Linked DNA regions of Callithrix jacchus. The protein of the gene in region 4 purifies or fractionates together with the protein of the main gene of each other region. This does not show direct contact. Links are inferred from orthologs where the notes say so. Each region holds a gene or a part of one and is shown on either strand. Other genes may lie near its edges.

Region 1 (6,018 bases), on a different chromosome or scaffold from region 4:
TATCCACCATGATCAAGTAGCATTCATCCCGGGGATGCAAGGCTGGTTCAACATATGCAAGTCTATAAACGTAATTCACCACATAAACAGAACCAGACACTTTACAAAAGAAGACATACATGAGGCCAACAAACATATGAAAAAATGCTCATCATCACTGGTCGTTAGAGAAATGCAAATCAAAACTACACTGAGATACCATTTCACGCCAATTAGAATGGCGATCATTAAAAAATCTGGAGACAACAGATGCTGGAGAGGATGTGGAGAAATAGGAACACTTTTACACTGCTGGTGGGAGTGTAAATTAGTCCAACCATTGTGGAAGACAGTGTGGCAATTCCTCAAAGACCTAGAAATAGAAATTCCATTTGACCCTGCAATCCCATTTCTGGGTATATATCCAAAGGATTATAAATTGTTCTACTATAAGGACACATGCACACGAATGTTCACTGCAGCACAGTTTACAATAGCAAAGACCTGGAACCAATCCAAATGCCCATCAATGATAGACTGGACAGGGAAAATGTTGCACATATACACCATGGAACACTAGCAGCCATAAAAAACGATGAGTTTTTGTCCTCTGTAGGGACATGGATGAACCTGGAGACCATCATTCTCAGCAAACTGACATAAGAACAGAAAATCTAACACCGTGTGTTTCTCACTCATAGGTGGGTACTGAACAATGAGAACACATGGACACAGGCAGGGGAGCATCACACACTGGGGTCTGTCAGGGGGAAATAGGGGAGGGACAGCGGGAAGTGGGGAGTTGGGGAGAGATAGCATGGGGAGAAATGCCAGATATAGGTGATGAGGAGGAAGGCAGCAAATCACACTGCCATGTGTGTACCTATGCAACAATCTTGCATGTTCTTCACATGTACCCTAAAACCTAAAATGCAATTAAAAAAAAAAAGACATGAAGTTTTACATTTCAGGTTGTAGGAGTTTATGAAGAAAATGAAAATATTATTCTATTTATATAAAAAGTCCAGAATAGGCAAATCATAGCGATAGGAAGTGGATCAGTGATTGCCTAAGGCAGGGGAGACTGTGGGAGAGAAGAGAGGAAGGAATTGCAGGTGGCAGCTAAGAGGAATGAAATTTCTTTTGGGGGTAATGAAAATATTCTACAATTGATTATGATGCATGACTCTGTGAATATACTAAAAGTCATTGAATTATAAACCTTCAGTGGGTAAACTGTATGGTATATAAATTATACCTCAATAAAGCTATTTTTAAAAAGTGAAAATAAAAAAAAAGACAAGTTCCTGATGCAAGTCTTCAGTGCATAAGTAGACTTTGTATATGGTAGAGACTGTATACTACCTAAGTCAGCAGCAATTTTTCCATTCTGCCACGATTTGCAAACATAAGCATATCCCTCTATGCTTTTTGTATCATCTTTTTAAATCGCTACTTCTACCTTTTGGGCGATGCTATTTTCAAAATAATAATAAAGTACTTTGTTCTTCAGCAGCACCTATATCAAAGTATTAATGAATATTTATCACCCACATTTATAATTATACACAACATTAATCACTGTCTCCAGAACTTACCACAGTGCCTAATATGGAAAAGGCCAAAGGTTCAACTGAACTAAATTTACAGCAAATAACTGGAATACTTAATACATTTGTCTAAAATTTGTCAGTTTCCACCAAGTATGGTAAATGGAGTAAGTTCTTCTAAATTAAACTTTTACACATCTAAGTTACAGTGTGTGTATATATATTTTTAACAGTAAGTGTCAAGAAATGTTAAGTTTACAAATGTTAAATAAAAGAAAAAGCTTAAGTCAGGAATTTCCACCACAGACTACTTGGACTTAAACATCAGCTTTCAAAGAGTAGAAAGTGATTTCACCTATGTCGATTAACACTTATTGATAAAGACTATGCATGTTCAAAACAGGTAGAAACTATTCCTATATTCAGTGGAGAAGAATCAAAGGTGGTTTCTCCTAGGACTTCCTCAGAGAAAACAAAGATGTGTTCTAGATCTGAGACAACACTGCACAGTAGTTAAGAGGGCAGGCTCTGAGCATAAGTAGACCAGATTTTAATCTGGCTCTTCCACTTCTTAATAGTCGTGCACAAGTTATTTAACCTCTATGGTCCTCAGTTTTCCCACCTGCAGAAGAAAGTTAATAGTTCCTACCTCAAAGGATTAAAAGCACATAACGTATGTAAAGTAGCTGACCCACACTAAGCACTCAAATCTGTCATCATTTCTGCCAGCTAAAGCTCTCAGCAGACAACTGCACAGCACTCAATACCAACCCATTCTTGATTTATCTTTCCATGCCCTAGAGAAACACAACATACAGAGCACTATTAAACACTTCCTTCTCCATATTATGTAAGATACCAGATTTACCTTTCTGATTATGAACTGTACAGTTTCTCCAAACAGAATCAACTACATAAAGCTACTCTATCAATTAACCTGCTGAAATAACTAATTTTTTGCAAATATTGTTATGACAAGTATACTTTCAAAATGGTTGATTGCCTTCTTACCATCAAGCCGCTTACTAATCTGCTCCTTTGCCACTCTACTAGGCCAGCACTTTCTCACTGTTCCAGCCACTGAAGTTCTTTCATTTTTCTCCCCAGTACTGGAACCGACATTCTTCAAATCCGGATTTTCCATCTGTTCAGAAATACTTTCAACATTCCTAGAAGTCTGTACTTCTTGTGGTTTTTCTTCCATACAACCTTTTGATTCAGACACGTCTAAATCATCAACATTACTGTTAGTTGCTTGGTCTAAAAGTGTGACAATCACTGAAGAATCTGGTGGTGAAGTTCTTTCTGGTGAACTTGAGTCTTCTGAAATATGAAGAGGTGTGGGTGGCAACTCTGACAAATAAGCCAACTCTTTTTGTGTTCGTGGAGGTTTTTCAGTAATTTCTGAAAGCTTTACAGGATTACAGCAAAGTTTGGCATATTCACCACCTAACCTATGACACAATTCATTAATTATGACATCACAGTCTCCAAGAAGCTCTACATCAAAATGCAGATGAGGCAAAGGTTCTCTATTAATTAATATCTGAGGCACTTCATGGGGTATAGAACCTAAAACAGGGTGAAAAATAAGAGTTAGAAAAAGGAAGGAGGAAGTAAGCTAATAAAGCCACAACAGATACAAGGGCTTGAGCTCCTAATTCCCAAAAAAGACCCTTACACTAATACTTAAGCAAGCCATTACATTTCATTAAGCAAGCCATTACATTTCATCAAGCAAGCAGATAAGCAGTTGTGTCTTTTATAAAACATTCAGGTTCTGCTCCTGTCAGCTAGTTACCTGAGCTATCTTCCCAGACTTTCCTATTCTGAATCTCAATTTCCGTGTCTGTAGAATGAGGATATTAATAGTACTTTCCACAAGACTGTCGTTGAAGATTAAATGAGTTAATAAGTGCACAGAAGAGTTCTTAGTAGTTCCTGACATAAAGAAGGCAAGCCAGGCGTGGTGGCTCACGCCTGTAATCCCAGCACTTTGGGAGGCCAAGGCAGGCAGATCATCTGAGGTCAGGAGTTCAAGACCAGCCTGACTAACATGGTGAAACCCCGTCTCTACAAAAAATACAAAATTAGCTGGGCATGGTGGCACATGCCTGTAATCCCAGCTGCTTGGGATGCTGAGGCAGGAGAATCACTTGAACCCAGGAGGCGGAAGTTGCAGTGAGCCAAGATCATGCCACTGCACTCCAGCTTGGGCAACAAGAGTGAAACTCCATCTCAAATAAATAAATAAGGTGAAAAGACATAGAAATTTATTCTACATTATTATAAAACTGTTTCACTTTTTAAAAAAGTATCTTTGCAACACACCATACTATCCCACAGAAAGCTTTTGAAACAAAAGCTTTTAAGAACCAGGTGTGGCAGCTCATGTCTGTAATCCTAATGCTCTGAGAGGCTGAAGATGAAGGATCACTTGAGGCCAGGAGTTTGTGACCAGCCTGGGCAACAAAGTGAGTCCCGTTTCAACAAAAAATTTTAAAAACTAGCCAAGCGTGGTGTGCACCTGTAGTCCTAACTATTCAGGAAACTGAAGTGGGAGGATTCCTTGCACCCAGGAGTTCAAGGCTGCAGTAAGCTGTAACTGCACCACTGCACTTTAGCCTGAGCTGGACATCGATCTCTAAAAAATAAAAAGCTTTTAAACAGAGTGCCTTTGAATTAACTTTAAGAAAAGCAACTCAAGGCCGGGCACAGTGGCTCACACCTGTAATCCCAGCACTTTGGGAGGCTGAGGCAGGGCGAGTCATGAGGTCAGGAGATCGAGGCCAACATGGTGAAACCCCATCTCTACTAAAAATACCAAAAAAAAAAAAAAAAGTTAGCTGGATGTCTTGGCGTGCACCTGTAATCCCAGCTCCTGGGTGGCTGAGGGAGGAGAATCACTTGAACCCAGAGGTGGAGACTGCAGTGAGCTGAGACAGCGCCACCGCACACCAGCCTAGCCTAGCAACAGAGCAAGACTCCATCTCAAAAAAAAAAAGAGCAACTCAAGATCAAAGAGACTTGTATATTAAATTTTCATGTTTCATTTCATTGCAAATTGTCTTCTATTCTACTTTAACAGTTTTACAGCTAATTAGGTAAGACTGAGTTAACTGCTAAAGACACCAGATATGAGATAAACACAAAATTGAAGAGCTTGATTCCATATTTTTTCCAACTTTTACTCTGGCTGCCTTGACTGCTGATGTGGGGTCGAATTCAATTCTCTGGCTAGGGATTTGATACTGTTTCCTCTGCTCTTTCTCTCACTTATGAATGGACACATCTGATGCAACTGAAATCTCTCTCTCCTGATTCTTCACTAGAGGAAAAACAGGCAGTATGAGAATATATATGAGAAAGAAATTATTCTGAGAGCAATAGGGATTTAAATTTTATGTGAACACTTTTATACAGACCGCTTTTAGGTTTGCTAGATCAACATACCATTATGACATGGCTGATTGTTATTACAAGAATGAACCAATCATTTTGAGCCCCCAAATTCATCTCACATGGTATGTTACACTTCTACCTTCTACCAAACTATACATTTGAATTTATTGGATGTGAAATCATTTAGATTGGAAGGATAACAACTATCTTATTAAGACTAAAAAATATAAGGATTAAGGACTGTTTCATAAATTGAGGCTGATCCTTGCAACATTAAAAACACATTCTACCAAAAAGTCTGTTAAACTCTTTACCTTTGTCTTAATTTTTCACATTAATTAGAAGTAGAGTTTGGTATTACTTGTGGATTTGTTTTTGGTTTTGTTTTTTTGGGACTTCTGTTGTCCAAGCTGGAGTACAGTGGCAAAATCTCAGCTCACTGCAACCTCTGCCTCCTGGGTTCAAGCGATTCTCATGCCTCAGCCTCGAGAGAGTAACTGAGACAACAAGCAGGCACCACCCCGCCCAGATAAATTTATATATATATTTCTTATTTTTATTTTTTTTTAATGTTTACATTTTTAGTAGAGACAGGGTTTCACCATCTTGGCCAGGCCAGTCTCAAACTCCTGGCCTCAAGCAATCGGTCTGCCTTGGCCTCCAAAAGTGCTGAGATTACAAGCATGAGCCATCAACATTACTTGTGTTTTGACAACCCTCCACCCCCATCAAAATGTCAGATTCACCAGTCTCTATGAACAATACCGCCTAAAAAAGAAAGTTTAGCCAGATGTGGTGACTCATGCCTATAATCCCAGCTACTCGGGAGGCTAAGGCAGGAGGACCACTTGAGCCTAGGAGTTTGAATCCAGCCTGAGCAACACAACAAGACCTCATCTCTATTAAAAATAAACAATTTCTAAAATTAGCTCTTTACCACTCTTTTTTCTTTTTGAAACGGAGTTTTGCTCTTGTTAGCCAGGCTGAAGTGCAATGACGCCATCTTGACTCACTGCAATCTCCGCCTCCTGGGTTCAAGCAATTCTCCTGCTTCAGCCTCCCGAGTAGCTGGGATTACAGGCACACA
Region 2 (6,018 bases), about 8.3 Mb from region 4:
ATTTAACTGCTACAGAGTGAACTTTCCAAGTATTTCCAAAATTCTGGAAATATTAATATCACCCTACAGATAAAGATAATAGAGCAAGAAAAAGAAATTGAAGAACTAAAAAAGCAGTTAAACCTCCTTTTTCAAGACAAAAGGGTTAAGGTTGACATGAAGGATGGGGGCGTATGTGTCTAATCTTCCTCAGGCTGTATCAGTAGGATGAAAGTAGACTTAAACTCTTAAGGTAGTTACCTGGAATGTAAATTTTTAATCTTTATTAGGGTATAGTCAGTATAATTCTTAATTGTATTTAGTAAGCCTATACAAGACTTATTAAAGATGTAAGAGTGCCTGCCCCAAAATAATCCTCCATCTATTCTAACTTATTAAAAATAACCATCTGGGCCAGGTGCAGTGGCTTATGTTTATACTCTCAGCATTTTGGGAAGCCAAGGGGGCTAGATCACTTGAGTTCAGGGATTTAACACCAGTTTGGCCAACATGGTAAAAGCCCATCTTCACTAAAAATATAAGTAGCCAGCTGTGGTGGTACACGCTTGTAATCTCAGCTACTCGGGAGGCTAAGGCAGGAGAATTGCTTGAACCTGAGAGGCAGAAGTTGCAGTAAGCCAAGATCATGCTGCTGCACTGCAGCTTGAATGACAGAGCAAGACTCTGTCTCAAAAACAACAACAAAGCTATCTGCAAACTTTGCAGCTTCAACTAATATTAGTAAGAAGTGAATTGCTGCATTTGTTAAGATGGCTTGTGACACACTGGTATCATGGTATTAAAGCTCAGACCGGTTGTTCTGTTAAGTTCACGCAATTTATATTTGTTTTTCCTACTGTATCTCATAACTGTGAATTGTCTATGGTTAAACAAGTGTGCCATGAACTGTTTTATTATACAAATGTTAATAATGTTAACACTGTTGACAATAAAGAACACTTATAGCTTTGTGACACTAGAGAACTAGATTTCAGAGTAAGCAATAGTCATTAACAGTATTTCCAAGCAGTTCTCATGCACAGAGATGAGAACTATAGCTACATATCGAGTTCATTTGTAGAGATGAAGACTACAGCCCATATCAAGCTACATTTTCTACTAACCTTTTCGTTGACAACTTCTCCAGTTTCATTCAGTGATGCTTTGGAATGTCCTTTCACTGGTTTACTCCACTCCACAAGAGGATCATGCAGAAAAGTCTTTAAGACACTAAAATTGAAATAAATATTATGGTACAATGTTATCTTTACAAGAAAAAATCCTGCTAACATCAATATTTAAGTGGCGGATTAGGAGCTAATGGTAATACTCTTTTAATACACATTACTACCTTTTCACTAAGTTATGTGAAATTTCTGTTTTGGTGTGAGGGGAAGGAAGGCAGAATCCTTCCCTTGCATTGTCAAATGCAAGGGAACACTCTCTTCTCCCTTGCATTGTCAAAAAGATGAGAGAGAGGACAGTCAGAGGAGAACAGAGTAAGTTGAGTTCTGTGTGCCATCTCGAAGTGTATCTTGTGAACTGGTACATGACTATATATTGAATGAAGGAGTTTAATCCTTACCATGTCTTCAATAACCATATAACATCTATAGCTACCATACAGACCTAACCCAGACCTTTTTTTCTGTACTCTAAACATCAAATCCACTTACCTATGGGAAATACCCAGTTGGATATGTTCTGAGCACCTCAAACTCAGTATCTCCAAAATAAAATTCATTACCTTTTCCCAACTATTTCTCCTGTATTCCCCAAATCACTAAAGATCATCAGCATCTGCCCATTTGCCCTAGACAACAATCTAGGAATCATCCTTGTCCCCTCTTCCTATAACATCCAATTTCTCTTCCTAAATCTCTTTGGAATCTCTTCACTTACCTGTGTCTCTACTGCCATGACACTGTCCAGTATACCATTATCTTTTCCTGGGTTACGGCAATAAACCTCTAACTAGTTTTCCAGCTGTTAGCCCCAACTAGAACCCTAGTTTTTCCTACAGTACAAATCAGATTGTCTCATTTCACCCCCGCCCCGTTTTTTTTCCTTCTTAAAATCCTTCAATGACTTCTGGCCGCTCTCCAGGCAAAGTTATAATGTAATAACAGGCCCCACACAAGACCTTCATAATCTAGCCCCTGCTTACCTGTCCAGCATCATCTCTGAGCAACACCTCCTGGAAGTTAACCCTCTGGAATACATACTGTATTTCTCAGGCAGGCCATGACTTCACTTGCCTCAATATTTTTTATCACTTAGAACACTTTCTTCTCCCTTGCATGGTCAATTTTATTTACCTTTAAGGTCTCAACTACTTCCTCTATAAATTAGTTCTTTTCTAAAAATTTATTTAATTTAACTTAATTATTATTATACTTTAAGTTCAACTTCCCCAGACTAACACAGGGGCTCTTGGTAACTGTTCCACATGATGATATACTTCCTATTTCAGATAATTTGCTTTTGCCTATGTCCAACTAACCAGTACTCTATCATAATGTCCAATAGACAGCTTTTAAATAAAGAAGGTGAATAAATAAGCTTTAAAGTTTCTTTCAAGAAATCTGTTTCCCACAGTTAACATCATACTTAAAGGTCAAAGACTGACTGCTCTATGATCAGGAACAAGATGAAGATGTCCACTTTTAGCATGTCTATTCGACATTGATTTAGCTAGGGCAAGTAGGCAAAAAAAAGAAATAAAAGGCATTGATGGCAGAAAGGAAAAAGTAAAACCATATCTGCAGATGACATGTTGTTGCAGAGAGAAAATCTTAAGGAAGCCACAAAAATAATTATTAGAACTAATACATGAATTCAGCAGACTGCAAGATATGATATCAATATATAAATATCAGTTGTATAGCTATACACTAGCAATGAACAATCCAAAAATGAAATTAAGAAAATTCCATTTATAATAAAATCAAAAGGAATAAAATACTTAGGAATACAGTTTTTATAAGTTAAACATAAGACTTGGCCCTAAAAACCACAAAACATTTATGAAAAAAATAAAGAAGATGCAAATAAATTTAAAAAAAGTCCATGTTCATCGATCAGATAACTTAATATTGATTGTTAAGACAGCAATACTCCCTAATTGATTTACAAATTCAATGTAATTTCTATCAAAATCCAAGCTCATTTAAAAATTCATATGGAAATATAAGAGAACCATAATAGCTAAATGATCTTGGGGGGACAGGGAAGCAAAGTTGGAGCTTTGCAGTTTCAACTAATATTAGTAAGAAGTGAATTGCTGCATTTGTTAAAATGGAGTTACTCACACTTTCTGATTTCAAAATTTACTATAAACGTATAGTAAGCAAAACAGTATGTTGTTAGCATAGGTTAGGCATATAAGTCAATGGAATATTGCTGAAAATCAATTGACAATTTCAACAAAAAAGCCAAGATAATTAAATGAGGGGGAAAATATTCTTTTCAAAAAATGGTTCTAGGTCAAATGGATATGCACATGCAAAAGAATGAATATATACACCATATATACAAAATAACCGAAGACAGATAAAAGATCTAAATAGCAGAGCTAAAAGTTGAAAATCCTTAGAAGAACACATAGGTGCAAATCTTCATGACTTTGGATTAGGGAATAGTTTCTTAGCTATGACACCAGAAACACCAAAATAACCAGAATAAAAAGAAAAAAACAAAGAAAACCAAATTAGACTGCATCAAAATTTAAAACTTATGTTTCAAAGGCCATCATCAAAGAAAGTGAAGAGACCACCCACAGATGGAAGAAAATATTTGAAAATTATATCTAAGAAGGGTCTTATATCCAAAATGTGTAAGAAGCCTTGCAACTTGGCCAGGTGGGGTGGCTCACTCCTGTAATCCCAGCACTTTGGGAAGCTGAGGAGAGTGGATGGCTTGAACTCATGAGTTTGAGACCAGTCTGGGCAACATGGCGAAACCCTTTCTCTACTAAAAATACAAAAATTAGCCAGGTGTGGTGGTACATACCTGTAGTCCCAGCTATTGGAGAGGCTGAGGCAGGAGAATTGTTTGATCCCAGGAAGCAGAGGTTGCAGTGAGTGGAGATTGTGTTACTGCACTCCATCCTGGGCAACAAAGCGAGACTCTGTCTCAAAAAAAAAAAAAAAAAAACCCCAGAAAAAAAAAGAACTTTTGCAGCTTAAGAATAGGCCAGGCATGGTGGCTCATGCCTATAATCCCAGGACTTTGAGAGGCCAAGGTAGGTGGATCACTTGACGTCAGGAGTTGAAGAGACCAGACTGGCCAACATGGTAAAACCCAGTCTCTACTAAAAATGCAAGAATTAGCCAGACGTTGGTGGCACACACATTCCTGCTGTCCCCGCTGCTTAGGAAACTGAGGCATGAGAATCACTTGAATCCAGGAGGCATAGGTTGCAGTGAGCTGAGATTGCACCACTACACTCCAGCCTGGGTGACAGGTCAAGACCCTGTCTTAAAGAAAAAAAAAAGAGAATAAAAGACAACCCAATTTAAAAGTGGGCAAAGGATTTCCATAGACATTTGTCCAAAGATGATCTACAAATGGCCAAAAAGCACATGAAAAGCTGCTCACCATCATTGGTCATTAGGGAAATGCAAATTAAAACCACAATGAGATATAACTTGACACTCCTAGAATGGGTAAAATAAAAAAGGCAGACAATAACCAGTGTTGGAAAAGATGCAGAGAAATTGAAACCCACATGCATTACTATTGGTATTATAAAGTGTTATAACAGCTTTGGAAAATAATTTGAGAGTTCTTCAAAATCTTAAGTGTAGCATTTAACATAAGACCCAGCAATTCCACTCCCAAGTATATACAAGAGAACTGAAAACATATGTCCACATAAAACTTGTACACAATGTTCACAGCCATGCTATTTACAAGACAATACAAAAGGGGAAAACAATCCAAATGTCAATTAACTGATGAACAGTAAAAGAAAATGTAGTATATCCATATAACTGGATACCATTTGGCAATAAAAAATACAGTACTGATACATGTTGAACACCAAAAACATTACATTAAGTGAAACAAGACAGACATGAAAGGCCACATATGGCTGGGTGTGGTGGCTCATGCCTGTAATCCCAGCACTCTGGGAGGCCAAGGTGGGTGGATCACAAGGTCAGGAGTTCAAGACCAGCCTGGCCAAGATGGCGAAACCCCATCTCTACTAAAAATACAAAAATCTGCCAGGCATGGTGGTGGGTGCCTGTAATCCCAGCTACTTGGGAGGCTGAGGGAGAGAACGGTTTGAACCCGAGAGGTGGAGGTTGCAGTGAGCTGAGATTGTGCCACTGCCCTCCAGCCTGGGTGACCGAGTGAGACTCAGTCTCAAAAAAAAAAAAGCCACATATTAATGACTCCATTTATATGAAATGTCCAGAATAGGTAAATCCAGAGACAGAAAGTATTATACATGAGTGGTTACAAAGAGATAGCAGGGGTGGGAGGGGAAAGGGATTGGGAGTGACTACTAATGCCTATGGAATTTCTTTTTGAGTTGATGAAAATGTTTTAAAATTAGATAGTGGTAATGGTTGCAAAATCTTGTGAATATATTAAAAACCACTGAAGTATGTACTTTTAAAGGTGTGAATTTATGGTATGTAAACTATATCTGCATAAAGCTATTTAAGAAAACTATTTCAGTCAGTGCAAAGTGGTTCCTATGTAAAAACATACTGTTAAATTATTTACAAAGTATAGATGATTACCTCATTAAAGGCTCTCGCTGATCGCGCATCAGCCTCATTGTAACTTCACATGCTCTTCGAAAAAGACCCTCTGTTCCCATAGGACCCATTCCATTTACCATATTATGAGTCAGGCGAAATGGTACAATTTCTGGAACTTCAAAGGTTTCTCCCTTAGAAACAATACATTTTGTTACAAACTAACAGTGTTAGAATTTAAAAATCTTTATTCAAAGAACTTCATGTCCAGATTCTTTTTTAAAAAATTTCATTTCATTTTTTGAGATGGAGTCTTGCTCTGTCACCC
Region 3 (6,018 bases), on a different chromosome or scaffold from region 4:
TTTCTTTTTTTTTAAGAGATGAGGACCTGCTCTGTTGTCCAGGCTAGAGTACAGTGATGTAATCATGGCTCACTGCAGCCTCAACCAACTTCTTAGGCACAAGGTATCCTTCCACTCAAGCCTCCTAAAATAGCTGGGCCTATAGGACTGTGCCACCATGCCTGGCTAATTTTTATTTTTTTTTGGAGAGGCAGTGTCTTGCTAGGTTGTCCAGTCTGGTAAAAATAGTTTTCTTTTTTTTTTGAGATGGAGTATTGCTCTGTCGCCCAGGCTGGAGTACAGTGGCGCAATCTCGGCTCACTGCAATCTCTGACTCCTGGGTTCAAGTGATTCTCCTGTCTTAGCCTCTTGAGAAGCTGGGATTACAGGCACGTGCTACTGTGCCTGGCTCATTTTTATATTTTTAGTGGAGACCAATTTCACCATGTTGGCCATGGTTGGCCAGGATGGTCTTGAACTCCTGACCTCAGATGATCCAGCTGCCTTGGCCTCCAAAAGTGCTGGGATTACAGGTGTGAGCCACCACGCCAGGCTGGTAAAAATATTTCTAAGAATATACTTCTAATATACACATACTTAGTTATCAGTCAAGTACAGGTTTTAATCATATAAAAAGTACTTTTCTCAAAAATGCTTAATGTTATTACAATCAAGGCTCTAGACCTAATTTACAGATTACAGAAAATGCAGGGATAGAGAAGCAAGTTAAAGTACTCCATGAAGAAACAAGTAGTAAGTATTAGAAAAGAGGACCGGCTTCCAATATCATTAAAAACATTCAAAAGAAAAAAAAAGAGGTAAGGTGCTGCTCTAGGTTAAGATAGGAAAAAGAAATAGCTAAATGTGTCAACCTTAACTGGAGGATAGTTCAGAAATAAAAATAGCTGCAAAATATATTTTGAGAACAATTAAAGAGACCTGAATATGGGCGGAATATTACATATTATGACATTATTCATCTCTTATGTATGACAATGGCATTGTATTTATGAGGAAGAATGTCCTTATTCTTAGGAGCTGCTTATGAAAGAATGTGTAGAATATCATAGTTTCTGGCTGGGTGAGGTGGCGCATGCCTATAATCCCAGCTACGCGGGAGGCTGAGGCAGGAGAATTGCTGGGACCCAGAATAGAGGTTGCAGGGAGCCAAGATCATGCCACTGTACTCCAGCCTCAGCGAGAGTGAGACACCATCTCAAAAAAAAGTAAAATTAAAAATAAGAAAGAATATCATTCTAAAAAAAAAAAAGAAAAAGAAAAAAAATTCAGATGAGAATTCTTAAAAAAAAAAAAAAAGAGTATCATAGTTTCTGCAACTTATTCTCAAATGATACAGAAAAAAGAATACGTAGAGAGAAAGCAAATGTGGCAAATGTGAAAAACTTTGTTTTTTTTTTGAGACAGGGTCTTTTCCTGTTGCCCAGGCTGCTTAAATTTCTGGGCTTAATTAATACTCCTGCCGCAAATAAAAAGTTGTTGGGAAATTATGTGTATTATATCCCATTAATATTATGTTAAATTTACAAACAGATTCTAAATTAATGTATTAACTGTGTAAATAGAAGCGCTGATATTTTCTTTTGAAGATAACCTACCCTCTCCTTGTTGCCAAACCCGCTGGTCTGTTTTCATCTGCTTGTTTCTTTGGCACTGCCGGCCGAACCTGCCTTGAAACTTTCCTTCTCACCTCAGAGCCACAGTGTCTATGGATGCTCTGCCCAAGAATCCTCCTGGCTCCATCCCCTGCCCATTCATGTTTGGTTCCCTAATTGTGCTCATTTGCATCATCAGTATCTGTCTCCCCAGCTGGGAAGTTTTGCAAAGGCAGGACTTTGCTCTCATCCCTGTACCCTGGGGTCTAACTGGTACCTGGTACATAGTAAGTGCTGAAAAAATATTTGCTTATTAGTCAGAGTGGAAAATTCCAAGAATTATCTGTAGAACATCAATGTTTCCATGGAAAATCCCATTAGATATTGACATTTGGGAACAAATGAAATGCAGCTCATCAATAGTTAAAAGAATGCTATAAAAAAAGCATTCAGAGAACAAAAAAGACCTCCCATAAATCAAAGATTAGAAGATAAAGACTGGGCGAGGTGTAGTGGCGTGTGCTTATAGTCTTAGCTACTTGGGAGGCTGAAGTGGGAAGATCGAGTGAGCCCATTAGTTTGAGGCCAGCCTGGGCAACATAGAGAGACCCTGTATGGAAAAAAATAAAAATAAAAAAATAAAGACCAAAAAATAGAACAAAGAGCTGGGCAAGAGGTAAGAAAATCCTACAGTGGGTCCAAGAAGTTCCCTATGAGACACCAAACCTAGTGAAAGGGGTGACAAAGGTGAGAAAGAAGAGAGCAGCATGCCTCACTTTGAAGGGGACTGCCCCTTTGCCAAATGGAGAACGTCCTGAATGTCTCAAATATGGCTCAAAAAGGCTTCCCGAAAGCACATTACTGGGAAATGTCAGGCTGAGGATGAAGGGTAGACCCTAGAACATTCTGGGGGCAAATTCTAGGTCACACACCAATGATCAGGAGCCAGAGGGCATCTTCAAAGGCATCACATGGCCCTCCGTGTTATAGGAACAACCACCTCCCGCCTGTCATTTTACATCTAGCAGAAGCTGTAGCGTTGGGTAGGCAACTGACCCCTGCCTCAGATCACTAAGCAGCTCAGACCCAAGGTCCACATGGTAAAAACTACTCCTATCATCACATACAGGATGCCTCCCCTGGAGTAATTGTCTGGGACTGGGTCTGGCCAAAGGATGCAGACCCACATTGCTCCTCTGCAGTGACTGCAGTGAGTGATGCTAGAAGACAGTAGAAAAGGAAGGGAGGGGTTGTACTATTAATTGTTTCTCTACATCATTTTTTTTGCTATTTAGCTGCAGAGCTGAGCTGTCCTAAATTTCATTTCATCTGAGAGCATCCTATTGAACAGATAAGCCACTCCTGCCTGAGGCCACACAGCCAGGGGACAGCAGAGCCCAGGGTCAGCATCCATGCCTGCTAACTTCTCCAATTCTCGCTGCCCTCAGTTACACCTGGGCCTGGCAGGCTTCAGGATGACCTCTGACTTCTGGAAGTGTATGTTCCTCCAGGATGCTGGAAGAGACCCAAACACACCTCTTCTAACCGTGTGCGCTTCTCAGAAGGCTCTGACCCATCACTGTCACTTCCTGAATCCTCTTCATCCCTGAAGATGTCGTCATAGGCAGGAACTTCAAGGTCATCATCTTGTTTAATGAGTAATTTGATCTGAGTTCAAAACAAACAGGAATTAAGTCTCTCCTCTTTCTACGGAAAACTATACAATATGTTCTTTTGCAGAATCTTATTTCCTAATAAGCTGACTCAGTTTCCTGTACATACAAATAGCTACCTATTTAACAAGAGTTCCAGATTTCTTAGGAATTTTCTTGTTTTCGTTACCAGTGAGGCACCAGAGTTACACCATATGTGGTATGCAGAAATTATGAAAATCTGAAAACAGTTCTTTGAAAACCGTCTAGTCTATATAAGTCTGGAAACACAGCATCCTCTTATGCCATACAGCAATAAAATGAATACCCCACAAGTTGGCCTCTGATAAAGGACATGAATATGTATAACCCATAAGTCAATAAAACTCTTACCTAAAACTAATTCCAGGCTGATTTTTCTTTATTTTTTTTCTTTCAAGACTGACTCTTGCTCTGTCACCCAGGCTGGAGTGTAGTGGCACAATCTCAGCTCACTGCAGCCTCTGCCTCCCGTGTTCAAGTGATTCTCCTGCCTTAGTCTCCCAAATAGCTAGGATTACAAGTGTATGCCACCACACCCAGCTAATTTTTCTACTTTTAGTAAAAATGGGTTACGCCATGTTGGCCAGGCTGGTCTCAAACTCCCACTCAAGTGATCTGCCTGCCTTGGCCTCCCAAAGTGCTGGGATTACAGGTGTGAGTAACCGCACCTGGCCTCCAGGCTGATTTTTCTGGGAGAGGTTCCTGATATAAGAATTTGGGAGCCCAACACCCTGTGGGTGGGAGATCAAGTCAGAGAATGCTTAGGTATACCTTCAAACGGTATGCTTGCTGCTCAAGGGTTCAAAGAGTAAGCACAGTAGAGCCATTCTAGGTTACAGGGTTCTGGTCCCATACCTCCCAAGTCAAGTCAATTCCACAAATGCATTCTGAGCAACTCCAAGGGCTAGGTGCCACATCTCTTGTTAAAGATGAACAAAATCATGGTTGGACACAGTGGCTCATGCCTGTAATCCCAGTACTTTGGGAAGTCAAGGTGGGAGAATCTCTTAAGGCCAGGAGTGCAAGGCCAGCCTGACCACACAGCAAGATTGAATTTCTCTCTTTCTCTTTTTTTTTGAGACAGAGTTTTGCTCTGTTGCCCAGGCTGGAGTGCAGTGGTGCAATCTCAGCTCACTACAACCTCCACCTCCTGGGTTTGAGCAATTCTCTTGCCTCAGTTTCCCGAGTAGCCTGGATTACAGGCGCATACCACTATGCCCGGCTAATTTTTTGTATTTTTAGTACAGATAGGGTTTTGCCATTTGGTCAGGCTGGTCTTGAACTCCCGACCTCAAGTGATCCACCTGTCTCAGCCTCCCAAAGTGCTGGGATTACGGGCGTGAGCAACTGTTCCTGACCAAGACTCCATTTCAAAAAAAAATAAAAACAAATTTTTGCTGGGTGTGGTGACATGTGCCTGTCGTCCCACCTACTAAGGAGGCTGAGGCAGAAGGATCACTTGAACCCAGGGGTTTGAGATGACAGTGAGCCATGATTGTGCCACTGTACTCCAGCCTATCTCTTAAAAAAAAGATGACAAAGACCAAGTACTTTGGTTCCCACTCCCATAGAGTAGTAATACATACACCTTACCAAGAACACCAGGTGAGACATTATAGATGGATAAAAGGTACAGACAGTTTGAGGGCAGATCACGAAAAGTACCTGGGTGTCGTTGTACACATTCACGACATTGACTGGCCTATGGGTGTCACACACAAAGAATACAGTGTCTTCATCAGGTTGAAGGATATCCAGTAGGTCTACATTAGCTCCGCAGTTTATGAGAATAAAGTAACGAAACTGAAAAAAAGGAAGATATTGTAAAGTAGCTGTACCAAGGAGGCCCCTTTCCCTTCATTGCACTAAGCCTCTGAGTTGTTCTGCTGAAACTCACTAAGTCCCTGATATGTGGTGAGGACCACATGGCAAGGGACTCCAAAAATGGCTAAGTGCTTTAGCATGGTGACACTGTGGCTCCCAACTTTCCCCAGGAGCACACTGAGACTCAGCAGGCCCAAATTTCATGGACAAGCTCAAGAAGCCCAAGAGGAGCAGACCAAGACTTTCAGAACATGGTTGTTTCTCTTCAGACCTCATAGTACAGTGCTGTGTGCCTCTCCAGGCTAATGACATTGTACAGGTTTAAGTTTTTAGCAAATACTTTATGGGTACTTAATTAAGTCCTTTATCACACTCTATCACTAGTATACCATGTTCTTTCCTTATAAATACCAAACTGGTATGGGTCCTTGACATGATGACAGGAACACCAGAAAAAGATTTGTCTCTGCCTAAATAATCCTAGATATGGCTAGGCACTCCAGGGACCCTCTTCCATGTTCCATCCCCTATCTGTGGAGTCCACAATGTCCCATCTCTCATTTGGCCCCATGCAGAGGTGCGAGGAATACTGGCCTCTATTATTTAAATTCATTCCTGGATTTCAAGTTGGAAACCAGGATGCATTGGAGAAATAATGTAAGACAGTAGTGTATTCTAAAGTAATTTTAACTAATCCCAGCACTTTGGGAGGCCAAGGCAGGCGGATCACTTGAGGTCAGGAGTTCAAGACCAGCCTGACCAAAGTGCTGAAACCCCATCTCTACTAAAAATACAAAAATTAGCCAGGTGTGGTTGTGGGCTCCTGTAATCCCAGCTACTTAGGAGGCTGAGGCAGGAGAATCGCTTGAACCCAGAAGGCCGTCCCAAAATAAATTAATAAAATAAAA
Region 4 (6,018 bases):
GTAATCCCAGAACTTTGGGAGGCTGAGGTGGGCAAACCACTTGAGGTCAGGAGTTCAAGACCAGCCTGGTCAATATAGTGAAACCCCATTTCTACTAAAACTACAAAAATTAGCTATGCACGGTGGCACACACCTGCAATCCCAGCTACTTTAAGAGACTAAGATAGGAGAATCACTTGAACCTAAGAAGTGATGAGCAGTGGGCTGAGGTAATGCCACTGTGCTCCAGCCTGGGTGACAGTCTCCATCTCAAAACAAAAAAAAAAACCCAGCTTTTGTTTAGCCAGTAAGTTGGTAAGTTTAAAAAAAACAAAAACAGTTAAGGTAATTTGCCCAATTTCCCTTAACAATAAGGTAGGGTTACATTTTTGCTACTCTGAAAACGAATGCAGAGCCAAGTCATTCTACAAATAGGAATACGTTAAGAATTCCAATCTAAGACAGCTGAAAAAGCACAGCATATGATGTTTCCATCAATAAACTTACAAGACAGTTATTCACATACTAAAAAATTAAAATAACCCACAAAATACCAAACAAAGCAGTGGCTCTAATGGTGAGGAATATGAACTTTGAGGTAGATGACTGGCTACTTAATGTGTCTCTCTGTGTGACTCTGAACAAGAATTTTAACTGAGTCTTACCCTCAAGATAATATCCACTTCAGAGTTATTTGTGGGAATTAAATGAGATTATATATAACATATTAACATACATAAAATTATTAGGATGGTGTCTAATACACTGTAAATACTTAAATGATAGTTATTAATAAAAGTCCAAACCTGGGAAACACAGTAAGACCTTGTCTATACAAAAAAATTTAAAAATTAGCCAGGTGTGGTGGCACATGCCTGTAGTCCTAACTGCTTGGGAGACTGAGAGATGGCTGATGCCCAGGAGTTTAAGGTTATAGTCAGCTATGATTGTGCCACTGCATTCCAGCCTGGGCGACAGAGTGAGACCCTATTTCAAATAAATAAATAAATCCAGTAAGTCATTCAGAAACTAAGTGCTCTCAAAACATAATAGATGGAAAGATTAATGTAGTTAGGAGTGTTCAGAGAATAATTAAAAACTGAAATAAACTTCTAAAAGATAACAGAGGAAGATGACTCACAGAGCAACTCTCACAGCCAAAGGAGGATATGTCTAGTAAGTGCATCTACTTAGCTAGAGAGGAGGGTTTACATAGATAGTAAGGAGCAAGCCCAACTCTGAAGATTCTTCGGAGTCGGGTTAGGAAATGCTAATGTATATCATCACTTACTACATGTATTATATAATAAGGACGTACCCGACAACCATCTAATAAATCTTCAGGTGCGTGAAATGCACTCACATCCAGATTTTCCAGATTTTCAAGGGTAGCCTCCAGTTTGCTGTTAAGTGAATTACATATCGACTCACTTATGCAACTTGCATTTATGTTGGAAATATTGCTGACATCTGAAAGAGTACGACCTACATATTTTGAAAACATGTATAAATTTATGGGAGATAAAATAATCGTAATTACATATTGTCTATGAATTAACTTTTCTTACAAATAAAGGGCAATAAACAACTTCCAAAGTAAGATGCAGGTATGTTTACTAAAATCTTAGTGGAAAAGTATAAAAAGGAAAAATGAAATTAATTAGGCCTCATATCTTATTTAAATGAAAACAAGACACATTTTCTTAATAGTGTCTTGTTTCCCATAAAAATCTGAATTTGCTGACTTTAAGGTCCAAGAAGCTCACATTTGAAAAGACTTTTAACATTGTGCCAAAACGACACCTACAAAATAGAAACTGTTTTAATTTTTATACAAATACAGATGATTTATAACAATTGCAGCAAAATCATAAACTAAGGAAATATATTAATATTATATATTTAATATACATTAATTATATCAATATTAATATATAAATTATATATAAAATTATATATATAAGTATTAATATATGCATGTCCATAAATTTTATCTTAAGCCTCTATCTACTATTGTTCTTAATTTATTTGATCATCTTTTGCATGACATCAGGGTATAAAAGAAAGCAATTATTCATTCTAAAAAAAATTAGGAGCAGTTCAGTACTAACTTTTTATACAATTTGACTACTATACAATTAGGTTTAGAAGCATAGCAAACAAGAAAGAAAAATTCCCTATCTCAGTGATCCTATTAATATACTGATTATTATACAGAAACGATTGTCTTTAGAATGATGATTTTAATTTCAATGAGACTCACTATCAATTGTGTTGATCTGGCCAGTAGGAGTTGAAGAATTGGGCATAGTCTTTGCTTCTGGTCTTGGTTCTGTCTTGTACATGGATTCATCCTGACAAAAACCTTTTTCAACACTGTCAAAAAACCACTGCGTGGTCACACAGTGTACATTCCATCTCTTGGCACATTCATATTTCTGACCTGCAGTGTTCATTAAGAAACAAAGAGAGGAAATAGAGAAATGAAAATCATTAAAATCTATCTTTGCAGAAGTATTCAGATTATAACAGGTTACTTAATTTTAATTTTTGTTTGTTTTTGAGACAGAGTCTTGCTCTGTTGTCCAGGCTGGAGTGCAGTGGCACAATCTCAGCTCACTGCAACTTCTGCCTCCTGGATTCAAGCGATTCTCCTGCCTCAGCCTCCTGAGTAGTTGGGATTACAGGCATGTGTCACCACTCCCAGCTAATTTTTAAATACTTTTAGTACAGACAGGGTTTCAGCATGTTGGCCAGGCTAGTCTCAAACTCGACCTTGTGATCTGCCGGCCTCAGCCTCCCAAAGTGCTAGGATTACAGGCATAAGCAACAGCTCCTGGCTCCCAGCCGTAACAGGTTATTTTAAAAACCTATCAACCAAATTGAAGTTACCAGTACTTACTCTTAAACAGTATGCTACATAGTTTATTGCAAAGTAGTACTTTAGTTTATTGCCTAATTAAATTTTCTATGTGTTGTATAAATACACATGCCATGTGAGGGGGTTTATCTCTTATACAAACTGCAGGAAGACAGGAGCAACTGTGGGGTAACAATATTGGACTTTGGTTTGCATTTAGGCTCCATCACTTAATTCCTTTAAACAAGCTTGTATAATGTGAAAATTGTAAATGTGTGTAATATAATAAATCCCAATTTTGAACACTGGGATTCCAATGTCAACAGGCTTCTACTTAAAGTCCAGGATAGATAAGCCAATAGATAAATTATGTTAAAAATATGTATCTTTTTATTACCTTAAAAACCTTTAACACAATGTATTTTGAAGCAGTATCACAGAGAAACTGAAGTCTGTATGTCACATGAAAGGTTTTCTGGCATTCTTGATAATCAACAGTGAACTGTCTTCAGATTCAGAAAAAGAACAGCTGTATCAACTCTACTCACAATCATCCTATCACAATTGGCCATACCCAAACTTCTGACTTAAGGACAATTACCATTTAACCTTAATTACTTCTCAGTCTAGAAAACTTAGTAAAACACAGTACACATATATATAGCAATAACAAAAACATTAACAAAATTCATCTTTTATCAATTTGCGTGTATTTTAAGAGTGCTGATAAAAAGTTATCCAGAATAATGTTATGGAACACCAAATTTAAAAACAATTTTAAAGAATTTTTCTTGGTTGGTAATGTCTTTTTCATTTACTGCCTCATGTTCTCCAAGGCGTGTCTTCCAGTTATAACTTGTAGCCCATTCAGTCAAACTGAAACTAAGTCAAGCCTTTCGTCATTACAAAGAAATGCCATTTAGCTATATTTATTAGTTTTCTTGTTATTTACCCAAACTTCTTTTCATTATTTGGTAACTGTGTGAGGAATATTTTTTTTAAATCAAAAGATACCAAAGTAAGCTTACATAAAACATCACTAAAAGGTTTTGGTTTTTTTAGTACTTATTAAATGACACGAATAAATACGAGAAAAGTCATATAGTTTAAGATTGTGACCCAAACGACTTCTGCAAGATGTTAGGTAAAACGGTATCAAACTAGATTAATGACATGTCAGAAGTAAAAGCTGTTCTGTAAGATTTTAAAATATTAAATACTAATGGCTGGGCACGGTGGCTCATGCCTGTAATCCCAGCACTTTGGGTGGCTGAGGCAGGTGGATCACTTGAGGTCAGTTAGAGACCAGCCTAGCCAACAGGTGAAACCCCATCTCCACTAAAAATACAAAAATTAGCCAGGTGTGGTGGCAGGTATCTGTAACCCCAGCTACTTGGAAGGCTGAGGTGGGAGAATTGCTTGAACCTGGGAGGCGGAGGTTGCAGTGAGCCGAGATTGCACCACTGTCCTCCAGCCTGGGCAATAGAGCAAGGATCTATTTTTAAAAATAAAATACTAACTCACAGAGAAAATGTTTCATGTGTCCATTTGTGAAACACAGTTTTACCTTTTGGTTCTTGCACAATGAGGTGTGTACATTCATTCATTTTCAGTTGTCCCATGTATTGACCTCCATGCTTAACTGTGAGTTGCTGAACTTCCTTCCGGTCTAAGCCACTTAAACCAGTCACACAGATTATGCAACCAAGAAAAATAGGACACTTGAAATCTTCCATGTTTATATCAGTATATCTACTTATTTTTCTGTGGGAATCAAATGGATAAAAAGAATACATTTACCATAGTTTTAAATTTACTAGAAGAATAATGACAACATCACAAATATCACTACTGTTTTCCTCATTTTTTTAGGATTTATAACCATTTTTTTAAAAAGGAGAACCACCAAACAGAGTAACACCAATTGCTCACCTAGCTCAATAACAGGTTTTAATACAAAGTAATTATTTCAGATACAGTCTCTCAAAACTGTTTTAAGAGAAAAATATACATTTTCTTAACTCTAAGCCCTTGCTGGTTAAAGTGGTATATTTTCCAAAATTCTACATCTGAATCTCTATTTAAAAACCCAAAGTTACTTTGGTTGCCTATTAGAAAAATAAACTTTTTAATCTTTCCATTATTCTGTATAAATAAAAGCAATGACTTTTGGCAAAATACCAACAAAAATGTCATTATTCTGTTGCCATGCTAGGCAGATGTGCTGAAGTAATCACACTGGGAATGAGAGTTGCTGACATGGAGACATTTAGGATTTGCTGGATGGTGTTGAAAACAAGCCCAGAAAAATGCTGATACAATTCGTATGCCAATAGAATTCCGTGGTATTTGGTCTTGTGGTTGTTTATCTAGTTTCAGGGGAAATTTAAGTGTGCCCCTTGAAATAGGCTCTAAGCTCCATGAGGGAAGGGACGTTACCTTGCTTTGCTTACTACATGTATCTAATGCCTAGCTCAGGTCAGATACATAAAACAGGCTCAGTTAACACTGATTAAATGATCACATCTCAGCTGATGACTTATATACGTTTATATTAAACCTTACATATGCCCCCTTTGGGAAGGAATGTAACTGCCAACATGGCTAATTTATTCTCTATCTTTATATATGGGAATGGTGTTGAAGGATGATACAACATAAAAGCTAAAGATTTGCCAAACTGGTTTTCTCTATTATTTCAGAAACATTTACAGCTGGGAACTTTATCATCAAAGCATTTTTTACTCTGTAACTACTGCTAACCCCTTAGCCCATTCTATAATGCCTGTCAACTTTTATCTTGGTAATGAGAGCATGCAAATTCTGCTCTTCTGTTTTCGCTGGAGAAGAAGAGTAATGACACTATTTTTTTCCCTAAATAATAAATCCAAAGAGTATATCGCATGCCAAAAATGATTGAATGCATCATTTTTTCAAATCTAGAAAATATAAAAATGTCTTACTTCTCTTGTGACTTCTCCCAAAGTGTTTTTATCCAAGAGGGAAGCAAAATAGGTTTCTTCAGGTTTGCAGCAACTAAATATTTTTTGCTACCAACTTCTCCTGCAATAAGGTGAGTTACTGATATGTTAAGGTCTCTGTATACTCGTCCGCCCATCATGTGTACATATCTATGAACTTCTTCCTGCAGCCCAAAAAGAGAATACATTAATACTAAT
Region 5 (6,018 bases), on a different chromosome or scaffold from region 4:
AGCTCAGGTGTGGAGTAGGACAGGCCCTTATCTTTAAATCCATGGTTATAGTGCCCACCTGTTCCTTGGCCCTGCCAGGAAAGACCAACCTTACCATGGCTGGATAAACCTACCATGCCCAAGAAGAAGAAAATGGACTGAATGCCAAGCCTGAAAAATTCTTTCCAATCACTTTAATTAATTATTTTTTTGGAGACGGGGTCTCCTCTGTTGCCCAGGCCGGAATGCAGTGGCACAATCACAGCTCACTGCAGTGTTGAACTCTAAGGCTCAATTGGTCCTCCCATCTCAGCCTCCCAAGTAGCTGGGACTGTCAGGCATGTGCCACCATGCCTGGCTAATTTTTCTACTTTTTGTAGAGACAGTGTTTTGCCATGTTGCCCAGGCTGGTCTTAAAACTCCTGGACTCAAGCGATCCTCCTACCTCCGCCTCCCAGTGTTGGGATTACAGGCATGAGCTGCTATGCCAGGCCTTTAAAAATATTTCTAACACTTTTACATGGTTCATTGAAAAAAATTTCCTTTTTTTTTTAGAGATAGGGTCTGGCTCTGTCCCCCAGGCTAGAGTGCAGTGGTGTGATCTCGACTCACTGCAACTTCTGCTTCCCAGGCTCAAGCCATCCTCCCATCTCAGCCTCTCAAGTAGCTGGGACTACAGGCATGTGCCACCATGCCCGGCTAATTTTTTGTATTTTTAGTAGAGATAGGGTTTTGCCACATTGCCCAGGCTGTTCTTGAACTCCTGAGCTCAAGTAATCTGCCCGCCTCAGCCTCCCAACATGCCGGGATTACAGGTGTGAGCCACTGCGCCCAGCCAGCATGAAAATTTTCAAGTACACGTATAGAGCATAATGTAATAGATCCCCTCATACTTACTAGATTCAGTAATTAGTTATCAGGATTTTGTCAAGTTTGCTTCATTTATTTATTTTTGTCCTTTGAAGTCTTTTTTAAAGTTAACCTTGGCTCTCTGCCATTTTACACCTATATAAACTTCAGAATGCTTCTCTTAAAAAAGATGAACGTTCTCTTAAAAATCAAAAAACCGCATGCCATTGCTTAGGTTGTCATTGCTTCTAGGTCTCTTCAGAGAACAGAATTAGGAACTGCATTTATAGCAGTGGGGGAAGACTGACATTGAGTCTGTGATGATATTTCCTAATCACACATTTTTAAACAATTTATTCTGATATTTTTGCAAGCTTATGAAAAAGGTAGCATAGATCAAAAATGCACTCCTATTCTCCCCTTTTGCCCAGATTCACCAGTTAGCACTTTTTTCCACATTTGTTTTATCAATTACTCTCTTTTTTTCTGAACATCGAAAAGTTATATATGTCCTACACTTCACCCTTAGTGCTTCAGTGTATGCTTCCTAAAAACAGATTCTTTTACCTAAGGATAGTACATGGCACAGTTCCCAAGTTCAGGAAATTTAACATTGATACATATGTCTTATAGCCGATCTTCTCTACTGGGAAGTTACTGCTTTTGGTAACTTTTAAGTGTCTGATTTAGACACGATGTTAATCTGTTTTTACTTCTTTGGTTTATACTTGCATTTCTTTTCTCTTAAACTGAAAATCTTGTTTCCTTATACATTAATATACTTAAAATTTTCAACATCTATGAATTCCTGTTAAATGGTATTTATTTTCTTGCAATCCTAATTGTCCTTAAAGTATATTTCACTAAGGATATATAGTTTTAAAAAGTCACTTAAAATACTTTTTTTTCTCTATGGATATATCACCCATTTGATGTACAACTTAAGTTCATTTTTCAGTTTTCAATTTTTAGGTATTGGTTTTTCTTAAACTTCATTTTGGAATTATTTTAGGCTTATATAGAAAAGTTGCAACAACAAAAAGATCCCCAGAGTTTCCATATACCTTTCAGAAATTATTACAGTGGAATTTTTTTTTGAGATGGTTCTTAGAACTTGCTGTCACCCAGGCTGGAATGCAGTGGCTCAATCATAAGTCACTTCAGCCTCAACATCCTGGGCTCAAACAGTCCTCCTGCCTCAGCTTCCAGAGTAACTAGGACTATAGGTATGGGTCACTATACCCAGCTAATTTAAATTTTTTTTTTCTTTGGGAGGCCAAGGTGGACAGATTGCCTAAGCTCAGGAGTTCGAGATCAGCCTGAACAACATGGCAAAACCCTGCTTCTACTAATAATACAAAAAATTATCCAGGTGTGGAGGTGCACGCCTGTAATCTCAGCTACTTTGGGAGGCTGAGGCACAAGAATCACTTGAACCTGGGAGGTGGAGGTTGCAGTGTGCCAAGATCTCACCAGTGCACTCCAGCCTGCACGACAGAGCAAGACTGTCTCAAAAAAAAAAAAAAAAAAAAAATTTTTTTTTTGTGGAGACATGATCTCACTATGTTGACCAGGCTTGTCTCAAACTCCTGCCCTCAAGTGATCCTCCCTCGCCTCCCAAAGTGTTGGGATTACAGGTGTGAGCCACTGTGCCCTACCTACAGTGATATTCTAATGGCAATTTTTCTTTTCCTTAGTTTTTCTACATTTAATAATTGGAATTCTTCTGTAAGGAAGTGCTATTCCTTCTCTCCCATTGATTTATTTGGTTATGTCTGAAATAGACTCATGGATATTTTATTCTTTGGGCTATATTTTAAAGGATTACTTATTTCTCTCTTTTTTAAAAATTTATTTGAAACAGAGTCTTGCTCTGTCGTGCAGGCTGAAGCGCAGTGGCACAATTGTACCTCACTGTAGCTTTGACCTGAGTAGCTAGGACTTTAAGCGTGTGCCACTACATCTGACTAATTTTTAAACTTTTTGTAGAGATGAAGTCTCGCTCTGTTGCCCACGCTGGTCTTGAACTCCTGAGCTCAAGTGATCCTCCTGCCTCAGCCTCCTACTTTTTTTCTTTCAGTTTTAATTTTTCATATAGCACTTTTAAAACTTAAGGAAATTTCCAAACTTACCCAAAGGTAGAACTGTATGATGAATCCCATGTTTCATCTATTTTTACTAATTATCACCATTTGGCCAGACTTGTTTTATTTATTCCACCCTCCTGCCTTTTTTTAACTGGAATTTTGGAAATTATTTATTTATTTGAGATAGTTTTGCCTTGTTGCCCAGGCTTGAGTGCAGTAGCAAGATCATGGCTCACTGCAGCCTCAACCTCCTGTGTTCAAGTGATTCTCCCATCTCAGCTTCCCAAGTAGCTGGGACTTACAGGTATTGTGCCACCATGTCCAGTAGTTTCTGTATGTTTCGTAGAGACAGGGTTTCGCCATGTTGCTTCGGCTGGTCTCAAGCTCCTGAGCTCAAACAGTCTACCTGCCTCAGCTTCTTATTGTGCTGGGATTACAGGTGTGAGCCAACTGCCCCGGGCTTGCTGGAGTGTTTAAAGCAAATCCCTAATATCTTATTATTTCACCCCTAAGTCCCTATGATGGCATAGTGTTTTGGTTTTTTTTTTGAACAGCTCCTTGCTATATCATGGCATAGTTTTTAATTGAAAACTTCTTTAGGAAACATTTTACATTATACAAGGAGAACTAGCAAATGTTGATAGGGGAATAAACAAATAAGGAAAAAGGCAATAAAAATAATCTGTGCTTCTACTGCCCAGATATAACCAGTGTTAAAATTTCATGTATCTTTTCATGCGTTTTTTGATTATAAACATATAAAGCAAATTTTAGAGTAGAAAAAAATCTCTTGTGTTTTTATTTAAATGCCTATTGAATCCATCCTGCGGGTGAACTGAGACTACTCAGCCCTCCCATCTGCTTAGATGTGGAAGACGCTTTTAAGTCTTTGCTTGAAGCTGGGCAGCTCTGAGTTGCTGGTGGCTTCAAGCTGTTTGTCTGGGTGGCAGGTGGTATCCTCCAGGGCCACGCCGTTGGGTCACAGGCTAGAGCATCTGAAGATCTGTTGCCTCACAGTTAGCACGTGTGCCTGTCACCTGAGCATGGCAGCTCCTGCTCTATTGACCAGGCACTGACTCAGTTTCCCCTAAGCAGTGGTAGCTAAGATTTTTCTTTCAGAAAAGTTTCAGCTGTGGCAGGGAGTCCTGTGCCCTTCCCAACGCCCCTGTTTTTGTTACCCTCCTAGGCTTGGAGAACCCCCTGCCTGAGCGTCCCCGGGAAAAAGAGGAACCAGTGGTTCGAGAGACGGGTGAGGTGGTCGACTGCCACCTCAGTGATATGCTGCAGCAGCTGCATAGTGTCAATGCCTCAAAGCCCTCAGACCGTGGGCTGGTCAGGCAAGGTGGGTACTGTGGGCCCTGTGTAGGGCAGGATTGCTTGGGGCATCTGGAGAAGGCAGGAATCTTGGCCAGCAAAGCACTGGTGACTTATCCAGGCCCTGTCTCCATAGGACCATTGGTTTCCCCATTTCCTGACATCCAAGGTCCTGCATGCTGTGGCTCCTGCCTTCTTTTCTGATCCGTCTCTTACTTTAGCACCTTGATATGCCACCTTCATATGCTGTTTCTTTTGCTCAGTAAGTTCCTATTGTTTCTTCAAGACACTTGAAATAACAGGCCCAGATGGGCTGCAACCTCAGGGCTTTCACACCTATGGCTCCCTGGCCCTGTCATGAAAGCAGACACTAGCTTTCATGGCTCACACTGTGGCCTCCTTCAAGTGTCTGCTCCAGTGTCACCACTGTGAGCATCTCCCTGGCCTATCTGCTAGTGCTTCTCATCCTCTTGCCCGCTGCATAGTTCTCCATAATACTTCTCACCCAACATAGTCCAACATATCCATCTTTATTTATTGGATTTTAAATAAGGGATTTGTTGCATGCACTGAACATAATATTTTGATGTGTTTGCAACTGGCTTCTGTCTTCACAGTTTCTTAATTATTCCAAACTGGAAAACTAGATAATATCGTCCTCTGACTCTTACCATAATAGAAGTCACTGACATTTTGCCCATACTTAATTTGATTAGTCTTTGTCCCTACAGCCACAGTGTAAGCTCTGTGGAGGCTGGGGTTTTGTCTGTTGCTCACTGTACATGTGACAGTGCCTGGCAGGCATAGTAGGCCTTCAATAAATGAATCAGTCAGTGGAATGAAGGAATGAGTGGAACTTGTCGTTCTGTGCTGAGATTTTCTGTGTAGATGTCTGTGCTGCTGCTTGTCTAAGCCTGTTAGCAGTAGAGGCCCTGCTTTGCTCTTCTCTGGGACCCCAGGCCTCTCAACTCAGCCCAGGTGGAGTGCTCAGCAAGATTCCCTGTTCCCTGGTGTGGGCCACATGTGTGAACCAGAGGGGAAGAGGCTGGTCCTGACCAATTGTTTGTCTGTTTCTGTCTCAGAGGAGGCTGAGGATCCTGCCTGTATCCCCATCTTCTGGGTCAGCAAGTGGGTGGACTATTCGGACAAGTACGGCCTTGGTAGGTTTCTACTAGAACAGGTGGGTGACTCAGGTACAGCCAGGTGACCTTTCAGTTGTTACAGACTCTGGCTTTTTTGGGCTCCCAAGTTCTCTTCTTAGTGCTCTCTTCTCTCCATCCCAGGCCTCCCAGTTCCAGCTCCCAGTGCTCCCTGACTCCCCTACTTTTTTTTTTTTTTCCAGAGACAGGGTCCTGCTCTATCGCCCAGGCTGGAGTGCAGTGACGCAATCATGGCTTACTATAGCCCTCAAACTCCCAGGCTAGCTCCTGGCTTAGCCTCCTGGGTAGCTGGGACTACAGGCGCACACCACCGCACTCCACTAATTTTTAGAATTTTCTGTAGTGATGGGATCTCATTATGTTGCCCAGGCTGGTGGTCTCAAACTCCTGGGTTCAAGCAATCCTCCCACCTCAGCCTCCAAAAGTGCTGGAATCACAGGCATGTGCCGCCTCACCTGGCCCCACTCCCCACTTTCAATTCCCTCTTTCTGAGGCCTCTCTCCACCAATCTCTAGGGTATCAGCTGTGTGATAACAGTGTGGGGGTGCTTTTCAATGACTCAACACGCCTTATTCTCTACAACGATGGTGACAGCCTGCAGTATATAGAGCGTGATGGCACTGAGTCCT

Evidence for each region.
Region 1: the proteins of TOPBP1 (region 4) and SIRT1 purify together in Homo sapiens (affinity purification with western blotting; 3 studies listed by BioGRID, with this or other methods). This does not show direct contact. The link is inferred for Callithrix jacchus from reciprocal best matches to the Homo sapiens genes TOPBP1 and SIRT1.
Region 2: the proteins of TOPBP1 (region 4) and ATR purify together in Homo sapiens (affinity purification with western blotting; 8 studies listed by BioGRID). This does not show direct contact. The link is inferred for Callithrix jacchus from reciprocal best matches to the Homo sapiens genes TOPBP1 and ATR.
Region 3: the proteins of TOPBP1 (region 4) and CDC45 purify together in Homo sapiens (affinity purification with western blotting; 3 studies listed by BioGRID and IntAct, with this or other methods). This does not show direct contact. The link is inferred for Callithrix jacchus from reciprocal best matches to the Homo sapiens genes TOPBP1 and CDC45.
Region 5: the proteins of TOPBP1 (region 4) and PLK1 purify together in Homo sapiens (affinity purification with mass spectrometry; 3 studies listed by BioGRID and IntAct, counting the BioPlex papers as one, with this or other methods). This does not show direct contact. The link is inferred for Callithrix jacchus from reciprocal best matches to the Homo sapiens genes TOPBP1 and PLK1.

Annotation. Positions count from the first base shown.
Region 1 is NC_133513.1:62,499,416-62,505,433, forward strand, and holds part of SIRT1 (NAD-dependent protein deacetylase sirtuin-1), read right to left. Parts: intron 3,102-6,018; coding exon 2,541-3,101; intron 1-2,540. UniProt on the Homo sapiens protein: NAD-dependent protein deacetylase that links transcriptional regulation directly to intracellular energetics and participates in the coordination of several separated cellular functions such as cell cycle, response to DNA damage, metabolism, apoptosis and autophagy.
Region 2 is NC_133518.1:42,150,438-42,156,455, reverse strand, and holds part of ATR (serine/threonine-protein kinase ATR), read right to left. Parts: intron 5,885-6,018; coding exon 5,733-5,884; intron 4,638-5,732; coding exon of another isoform or gene 4,496-4,637; exon of another isoform or gene 4,388-4,495; intron 1,210-4,387; coding exon 1,104-1,209; intron 1-1,103. UniProt on the Homo sapiens protein: Serine/threonine protein kinase which activates checkpoint signaling upon genotoxic stresses such as ionizing radiation (IR), ultraviolet light (UV), or DNA replication stalling, thereby acting as a DNA damage sensor.
Region 3 is NC_133502.1:211,172,909-211,178,926, reverse strand, and holds part of CDC45 (cell division control protein 45 homolog), read right to left. Parts: intron 5,090-6,018; coding exon 4,952-5,089; intron 3,261-4,951; coding exon 3,129-3,260; intron 1-3,128. UniProt on the Homo sapiens protein: Required for initiation of chromosomal DNA replication. Core component of CDC45-MCM-GINS (CMG) helicase, the molecular machine that unwinds template DNA during replication, and around which the replisome is built.
Region 4 is NC_133518.1:50,499,552-50,505,569, reverse strand, and holds part of TOPBP1 (DNA topoisomerase 2-binding protein 1), read right to left. Parts: intron 5,985-6,018; coding exon 5,803-5,984; intron 4,604-5,802; coding exon 4,407-4,603; intron 2,423-4,406; coding exon 2,243-2,422; intron 1,465-2,242; coding exon 1,298-1,464; intron 1-1,297. UniProt on the Homo sapiens protein: Scaffold protein that acts as a key protein-protein adapter in DNA replication and DNA repair. Composed of multiple BRCT domains, which specifically recognize and bind phosphorylated proteins, bringing proteins together into functional combinations.
Region 5 is NC_133513.1:24,292,321-24,298,338, forward strand, and holds part of PLK1 (serine/threonine-protein kinase PLK1), read left to right. Parts: intron 1-4,101; coding exon 4,102-4,257; intron 4,258-5,311; coding exon 5,312-5,389; intron 5,390-5,904; coding exon 5,905-6,018. UniProt on the Homo sapiens protein: Serine/threonine-protein kinase that performs several important functions throughout M phase of the cell cycle, including the regulation of centrosome maturation and spindle assembly, the removal of cohesins from chromosome arms, the inactivation of anaphase-promoting complex/cyclosome (APC/C) inhibitors, and the regulation of mitotic exit and cytokinesis.